Linked DNA regions of Xenopus tropicalis. The protein of the gene in region 2 binds, or shares a complex with, the protein of the main gene of each other region. Links are inferred from orthologs where the notes say so. Each region holds a gene or a part of one and is shown on either strand. Other genes may lie near its edges. The genes, in order: cnn1 and prkg1.

What was found.
Region 1: prkg1 (region 2) and cnn1 share a complex: the UniProt entries of both Homo sapiens proteins name them as parts of the cGMP kinase signaling complex. The link is inferred for Xenopus tropicalis from reciprocal best matches to the Homo sapiens genes PRKG1 and CNN1.

Annotation. Positions count from the first base shown.
Region 1 is NC_030679.2:139,382,421-139,386,022, reverse strand, and holds part of cnn1 (calponin-1), read right to left. Parts: intron 3,502-3,602; exon of another isoform or gene 3,453-3,501; coding exon of another isoform or gene 3,411-3,452; intron 3,225-3,410; coding exon 3,103-3,224; intron 2,266-3,102; coding exon 2,199-2,265; intron 2,105-2,198; coding exon 1,967-2,104; intron 980-1,966; coding exon 869-979; intron 781-868; coding exon 634-780; intron 1-633. UniProt on the Homo sapiens protein: Thin filament-associated protein that is implicated in the regulation and modulation of smooth muscle contraction. It is capable of binding to actin, calmodulin and tropomyosin. The interaction of calponin with actin inhibits the actomyosin Mg-ATPase activity.
Region 2 is NC_030683.2:13,398,464-13,402,876, reverse strand, and holds the start of prkg1 (cGMP-dependent protein kinase 1), read right to left. Parts: upstream 2,938-4,413; 5' UTR 2,327-2,937; coding exon 2,019-2,326; intron 1-2,018. UniProt on the Homo sapiens protein: Serine/threonine protein kinase that acts as a key mediator of the nitric oxide (NO)/cGMP signaling pathway. GMP binding activates PRKG1, which phosphorylates serines and threonines on many cellular proteins.

The DNA.
Region 1 (3,602 bases), on a different chromosome or scaffold from region 2:
CTTAATGCTTATTAGTCACTCAGTCAGTAACTAAAGCAGGCTATGCATTCAAACATCTGAATGTTTGGTGAGGTTGCCAAATGAGTGGCCCCTTCCCACCTTGAGGTGGGCTACAATGATCGGATCACAAAAGGACGAGAACTGTATTAATGAGCCAATGCTGTCCTGGCCCCAGTGGGATTTCTCAACCTGCCCAGTCAGTATCTGCCTGATTTTTCAACCAGATATCTGTTGGGCCCATCGGAGGGCCCCCTACATGGGGCCAGTAGGCTGCTAACTCAGTCCAGAAGGACCAGATTATTGGCCTGTCTATGGCCACTTTACTATGATTCACCTTCGGACATCGGCCATCTTGGTTTTACCATCTCCTTTTTGCCTAACTACCACTATATTTAGTAATTCCCCACTAAGTTCATTCTTTCTTACTTCTCCATATTTTCTCAAAGATCACTTCCCCGTCACTTCTCTTCGGCTGATTCTCTATTAGAGCTGCTATTGGAATTGGGTCCAGGAAACGATGGGAAATAGAACCACATCTTGTGGTAACAAATGCCAAACATGCCCCGAGATCTCAGTCTGTCAGTATAATGTTTAATGGCCTGATGTTGTCAATCCCTGCTCCTATCTACTCACCTGGGAAGCTCCTTTATTGGTGCCCATTTGCAGGCTGATTGTTGCCTGGTCAAGTGGTTGGTCATTAGCCAGCTTGGGATCATAGAGGTGCCTACGAGTACCATACGATGTCATCCCTTTCTGGCTGGCATACTTGTTAGTTCCCATCTGCCAATAAAGAGCAGAAACATTTTCAGCACAATGTCACGTGACCAACAAGCCGCTGTTGGGTTCAGTAGTGGTTTTGCCCACTTACCTGGAGCCCAATAATATTCCGTCCCTCCTTGAGTTTGTCAAGGTCGTATTTCCTTTCCTGACGGTCAGCGTATTTCACTCCAATATCCACTGTGGCACCTTTTGTCTTGGCCTGAAACATACACAGTGTTGGAAAGGTGGGTAGGTGCCATGCCCAAGTGCGCAAGTGCCAGGGCCTCCTCAGAAACTTTGGGGCCCCCATTGGACACAAGTGCGTAGTACCAAAATTTTGGCCATGTCCCTTGTGTGTGCAATATAAACAGCTGATGTTACTCTATAACAAGCCGTTCATATGAAGAGTTCCACTGATTAATGTGCTAATAAGTCATTTAGTTTATTGGGGGCAGTGGAGTTAGCCCTGAGATTAACCCCTTCCCACCTACCTGCCTCTGCTCTGCGCTTTCGTTGCTTTGATATGGAAGTTACGTAAGTGTTTGCACAAGTTACGTAAACTGAGTAAGTTAAGATTTTGCTGTGGGGCCCAATAACTAGTCAGTAGTAGTATATAAATATAGTAAACATGATTCATGTGCTAATAAGTCAGTATTTTCATTGGGATCAGTGGAGTTTATACATAAGTTATTTAAGTTTCTTAGAAAGTAAAGTTAAGTAAATTGCGTAAGTGCAGGGGCCCAATGATGTTGTTGTGGGGCCCAATAGCCAGTTATTCTCCTGCTGGAAATTTAATGTAGAAAATGCTGATATCATTCAGTAAATATCTCCTAATATAAACAGCTGATGTTTCTCTATAATAAGCAGTTGATAAAAATAGTTAAAATTAATAATGAACTAATCAGTCAGTCAGTTCATTGGGGGCAGTGGGATTTACCTTAAGTTTTTCATTCATTGGGGGTCAGTGGAGTTTGTCCCTGCAAAGCTTCTCTGCATTGTCTTTAGCTTGATACACAAGTTACTTAAGTTTCTAGGCAGTTTTTGCGGAAGTTACGTAAATTATGTGTAAGTTTTAGTGTAAATTATACAATTTACATAACTTTCGTGTCACCTGGAAGATTTCACGGGGCCCGGCACAATTGTTCCCCCTCTCCCCCCCCCCCAATGGCGGCCCTGGATAGAGTGTTGCCTGGCACAACATACTTACCACACTGGCTAATGCCAGCAGGGTGTATTGAACTTGGGTTAGGTTGGTGTTCTCAAAGAGATCGTTTGCCTCAAATATATCATGGGGTTTCACTCCGTATTGTGTGATGCCTTTGATAAAATTTCCGATGTTTTCCAACTAGAAGGTTACAGAGATTGGTAATTAATAATTATTTCAAAACATTTTCCCCGGAGCTGCTCAGTCCCGTGAGGAAAAACCATTTGCTGGTCACCTTGTGCCAGTTCTGGGTCGCCTCGTTGATCTTCCGAACGGTGCCAGGCTGGAGTTTGTTGATAAGCCTGGAGAAATGAGACAGAGAAGGTGAGGCTAAGTTGCCCCCCATTACAATATAGAAACAGTTTTGCCCCCACATTGAATTCACTACGGAAACCTGCAGTCCTCTATTTGTTGTCTAACTCCCAGGAGAACCTATATACCTGTATTACCTAATGGGTATGGTTCCAAACAACTCATGTTATAATTGGTGTTACCAAAGTGGCCAATGATCTGCCTGTTGAGCCTTCGGGCCTATATTTCTCAAGCTTAAAGCACACAGTACAGTGCCAACCTTTGGGACGTGACCGCGTACCTCCTGGCCAATATTGGAGAAAGGATTTGGAGATAAGAAACCTTGTATTCTGTGGACCAAAATGTTTCATGGATGTTGACTGTATTTGACCCACTGGTCAAACCACTTTGGTGGTGGGCAATCTGTGGGATCTTGGCTTCTGTAGAGGATCTATGTATGGCCAGTGAAATCAGCTACTGCACCAGCTATAGTAACAATAGAAAGGCAGTCATGCCGTGTGTGGCCCTGTCTGATTGGATAAATGGAGAGCGTACCAAATCAACCTGTGTACGGCCTCCTATAGGAGGAGGGATGTTCTGTAGGTGGGCATGTCCTGAGGGAAGGTAACTTAGTGCCACTCTGTACCTAGGAAGTGATTAGCCTAATCAGAAACAAATGCAGTATTTTTGCCCCATCTATATCCCATAATATTATCATGACGTCCAACCATGTCGCAAAGCTTGTAGTTTTGGTCTTGAAGGCACAGTGAAATTAACCTGTTTTGTTTGCTAGCAACTGCCATGGGAATTAAACCGAGCTTTCCTATTGGCTAGCCCCCCCAACTTACTCGCACAGGATGATTCCATCTTTCAGAGAATCCATGAAGCCTTTCCCAATGGTTCTTCCCGTCAGGCCCTCTATCCACTCTCTGAGCTCCGCCTCCTTCTGTACATCATACTTCTGCGCCAACTGGAATCAGAGGAGACAACTATTAAGGATCCACTGGACACTTTATTGTCCATGTTCATTAGCCACAAATCGCTAGTAGAAAAGGATGGAATTTATAATACTGGAAGTTCAGGACATTAGACAGTAATGGAGGCACCACAATTGCCCTTCAATCCTCCCATAGACGTGGGTGCCATTCTCTGGTACCTGCTCCCTGTGTCTTCCAGCGGATGGCAGAAGTTTCTGCATTTCTGGTGCCTCTATAAAGCAAGACGAAGACGTTTGCCTGCCTCTGTGCTCGCCAACATGTGTGCAGCTCACCATAAATGGACTGATAAAAGCTGCCAGCTCCCTACAGGCTGAGTTGGCAGCTTATTGGCTGCTGTATGGAGTCTGCTG
Region 2 (4,413 bases):
CTCCATGCTGAGCCCCCCAGAGAGAACATTCCTCTGGTCCAACAGCTGCATATTATAAGCAGAGAAGCATAAGCCTTGGGAGGAAGGGGGAGTGGCTAATTAGTTAAGGAGCCAAAGGGTTAAACCAAAAGTTCTATAAAATACAGAATTGGAGTCAATAGTTTGAAGTCAGTAGTAAAAGAACGATTAAACCTTTGTCACCCAGAGCATTTGCTCAACAATGTTATCGGTGTAAGTTTCCCTTCTCACATATAGATTGTAAGCTCTTGGGGCAGAACCTCTGTTGCTGTTGTATGGTGCTATTCCCTCTTGTTCTACCTGCTTCTCAGACATTCAGGTTTCTGTCACTTTAAGATCTTATAAACAGATAGTGTGTGAATGGCAGGCATTGGGACCAGGGTATCTCCTGTAACATAGCAGATTAAAGGGAAACTATACCTAAAAGCTAAATATTTTGCAGACAGTGTCATCTAAAAAAAGGTCAAACATACAGGTTTGGCTGGTTTGGTTGCCAATCTTACAGATCTTTTTTCCGACATGATCTTGGTCCTGTTTACTCAGGCTCCTCAGTTGCTGAGGTCAGCATCTATAGCAACCAGGCTGAGGTCAGTGTCTATAGCAACCACGTTGCAGTTTATAGTCTAGAATTTCACAATAAATGTAAGTATTAAGCCCAGGTTAACATAGACTGATCGTAGAAGCCCCCTAGGATTCTATATTGGAGCCTGTAAGCGCCAAGACCCCCAGCTTCTGCTGAAAGGATTTTCAATTTCCTGAGTCCATGGTATGAATAAAAAGTATGGCTGGCACCTGTACGTACACTTACAGATACAAGTGGCGGCTGCCCGAGGAGCTGTGTGCGTGACCAGGAGACTGTGCCATCCGTCTATTGCCCTGAATGCCATTGTCATAAACACTCCCAGCGGGAGGCAACTAGAAGCGCCGCCGAATCCGTGTTCCCAGCGTGAAACAGATGTATGGCTTTACTGAGAGAGAGCTGGATTCCCATCATACCCACAGGGATCAGCAACTCTGCAGCCGGTATGGGTAGAACTACAACTCCCACTATCCCCCATGGTGGGGTGCTGGGAAAAGGGAGCCTTGGGGGAGGGGGTATAACCAACAAGAGAGGGCAAACCTGCAAACTACAACTCCCAGAATCCTCTGTGCAACACCTGTGATGGTCGGGGATATATTCCCCTCTCTGCCCCGACCAAGCTTCGGAATAAAGACATTCAACAGCTGGAAGAGCCAATCACAAGTTACTCAGGCAGCAAAGTTCCATGGTAAGTTCTACCAGGCAGGACTCGAATGCTTGCACCAGGTCTAGTAACCCATAGCAACCGTTAAGCTTTTCCCTTTCAACCTGGCGACCAGAGAAATGGTTCTTCCATTCTGGTCGCTAGGGGTTACTAGACCTGGTAGAAACTTTTATGACATTACCATACTGGTGGCTGTGCTCTGGCTGATAGTAACACCTAGGGGCTACAGATACATAGTGGTGGATTTCAATAACAAGGGGGGCAAGTAGACTGACTCTTTATTTTAAAGGGAACACTACATTGCAGGACATTTTTTTTGTAATAACCCCCATCCCCACCACTTTGCAGATCTGCAGAACATCATTCTAATTCCCCCATGCCTTTACACATACATTGTACAGCAATTGCCCCCTATATAGAATTATACTGACCCCCCAAGACATAAATACAATCCACTTTACTTTCAGCAATGGCAGCAAACCAACAGCAAGCTCTATATACACTGTATATTTATATGTATATATATATTTACATACCTTGACATGGCACAAGACAGATGGATGCAGACAGAGGTGTTAGTTACACATTATTTCAGAAGATGAGGACAGAATGGAAAGCAGAAGGTACAGGAGGAGACTGTCTGTATATAAAATACACAAGTGGATGGACAAAGACAAAATAGAAAAAATAAAAATAAAAACAACAGATTGGGTTAAAAAGACAGGGATAGGACAATTACACAAGGCTGCAGCTTACTGTGGGCTCTTGGGGTAGAAGGGAAGAGTGACATGGCTCAGCTCTTGGATGTCAATGGCAGTTGGCTCTGCAGAAATAGCCTGTCTCTTGGTCCTCTGCTCCCCCAAAGTGGTGGGGTTCTGTTTGTGAACCTGTTGGGTGGCCGGTTTGATGACAGATCGGTACTTATCCAGTTCGTTCTGGAGCCTCTGGATCAGCTCATCCTTCTGATCCAACTCCAGCTCCAGTTCGTCTATGAGCGCATCCCTCTGCCTGAGCTCCTCTATCTTCTCCTGCAGAGCGTACTGCAAGTCCCTCAGAGTGCCCATGTTCCCGGCAGGGGCCACGGCTGCCTTTCCTTCTCCTTTCGTCGTCTTCTCGGCCACTTCCAAGCCCCCAGCCCGAAGGAACCACCACAACCTCTCGGTCGCTCCCAAAGCGCTCCTTTGCGCAATGAAGGTCCAACTTCTCCTGGTCTTGGAGACGCGTCTCCGCTCCAACCAAGGGAGGCTGCTGGTCAGATCCAACTTTGCTCCCCACACCTGGGTGGGTTCTACTCTCAGTTGTTGCTCCCCAACCCCGGATAACTTTTAGGGTTCTCCCAAATGAATGATCCAGGACAAAGGGTCTCCTTAAGCCATGACATCATAAATAAAGGCGAACTTTGCGCTAAAGCTTTCACCATCCAGATCCAATGAGAAACTGCTCCCACTGCCCAAAAATAAACCCCAAGACCCTGTTTGTATTGCAGCCCACTTGTAACCAATCCACAGGTCCGTTCCTCTGTTCCTGGAAGTCTTCTTGCTCCTGTTTCGGCCACACAAGTCTTCTCCTGGAGAGTCCACCAAGCTCAGCTGTTGCGTGTGGCTGCTACAACGTGCGACAGAGGCAGCGGCAATCAGAAGCCGAGGCAGGGAGGAACATTAGCATGCATGGTCTCTGCAAAAGGCAAAAAAAAAAATCCCCTCCCCTCTTTCAGAGGAGTCTTGGCTGCAGGATTGCAAGGGGAAGCAAAGGGGGAGAGACATAAACATGGGCAGAGAGGGGCTCCTCCTTGTACTCTGAGCTGGGGCTGATCATCTGCAGCCCCTCACACTGTCTGCTCTCTGCTGCAGGGGTCCTGTTAACCCCATCACTGCCTCCTCTCACCCCTTTCCTAGACTGCTGCTGTTACCTAGGCACCCTATTAACCATGGCACTCACTTGCTCTGCTGCTCACAACTGTATTATTCTTAGTAACACAGAGAGAAGCACATGAGCAGCAGCAAGGCAGGGAGCCAGCAGGAAAGGATTCATTATTAGTAGGGTCCAGAAGCCACACGCTTTATAATTAGAGTAGTGGCAGTCGCAGACTACAATTGCCCCAAAGCTTTTGGGCTGAGTTGGTCAGGGGCAAAAGGGAAAGGGGACTGTCATTTTAAATGAGGGAAGAAAGTAGGGGGTGTCCTGTCTAAAAAGGACTTTTATCAGAGGAAGTTTTGGAGGAGCCCCTGAAACATGTGTGGGGGTTCCACATATTTATACAGTGTCTATGGCTCACTGACAGTTGTGTATGGAAATAATAAAGCATCCACTTTTTGTGATATTGTAAAGGTACTTCCCTCAATTGTCCAGTGAGTCCTTGGTGACTTCTAATATCCTTATCATTTACAGTAGGGGGTACATTATCCCTTATAATACATGAGTGATACTCAGAGTTCCCTGTATAACTCAGCCTGCAGCCTTGTGCCTTTATATGGGCACAGAACCCCTCAGTGACTGCTAATATCCTTATCATTTACAGTAGGGGGTACATTATCCCTTATAATACATGAGTGATACTCAGAGTTCCCTGTATAACTCAGCCTGCAGCCTTGTGCCTTTATATGGGCACAGAACCCCTCAGTGACTGCTAATATCCTTATCATTTACAGTAGGGGGTACATTATCCCTTATAATACATGAGTGATACTCAGAGTTCCCTGTATAACTCAGCCTGCAGCCTTGTGCCTTTATATGGGGGGCACAGAACCCCTCAGTGACTGCTAATATCCTTATCATTTACAGTAGGGGGTACATTATCCCTTATAATACATGAGTGATACTCAGAGTTCCCTGTATAACTCAGCCTGCAGCCTTGTGCCTTTATATGGGCACAGAACCCCTCAGTGATTTCTAATATCCTTATCATTTACAGTAGGGGGTACATTATCCCTTATAATACATGAGTGATACTCAGAGTTCCCTGTATAACTCAGCCTGCAGCCTTGTGCCTTTATATGGGCACAGAACCCCTCAGTGACTGCTAATATCCTTATCATTTACAGTAGGGGGTACATTATCCCTTATAATACATGAGTGATACTCAGAGTTCCCTGTATAACTCAGCCTGCAGCCTTGTGCCTTTATATGGGCACAGAACCCCTCAGTGACTGCT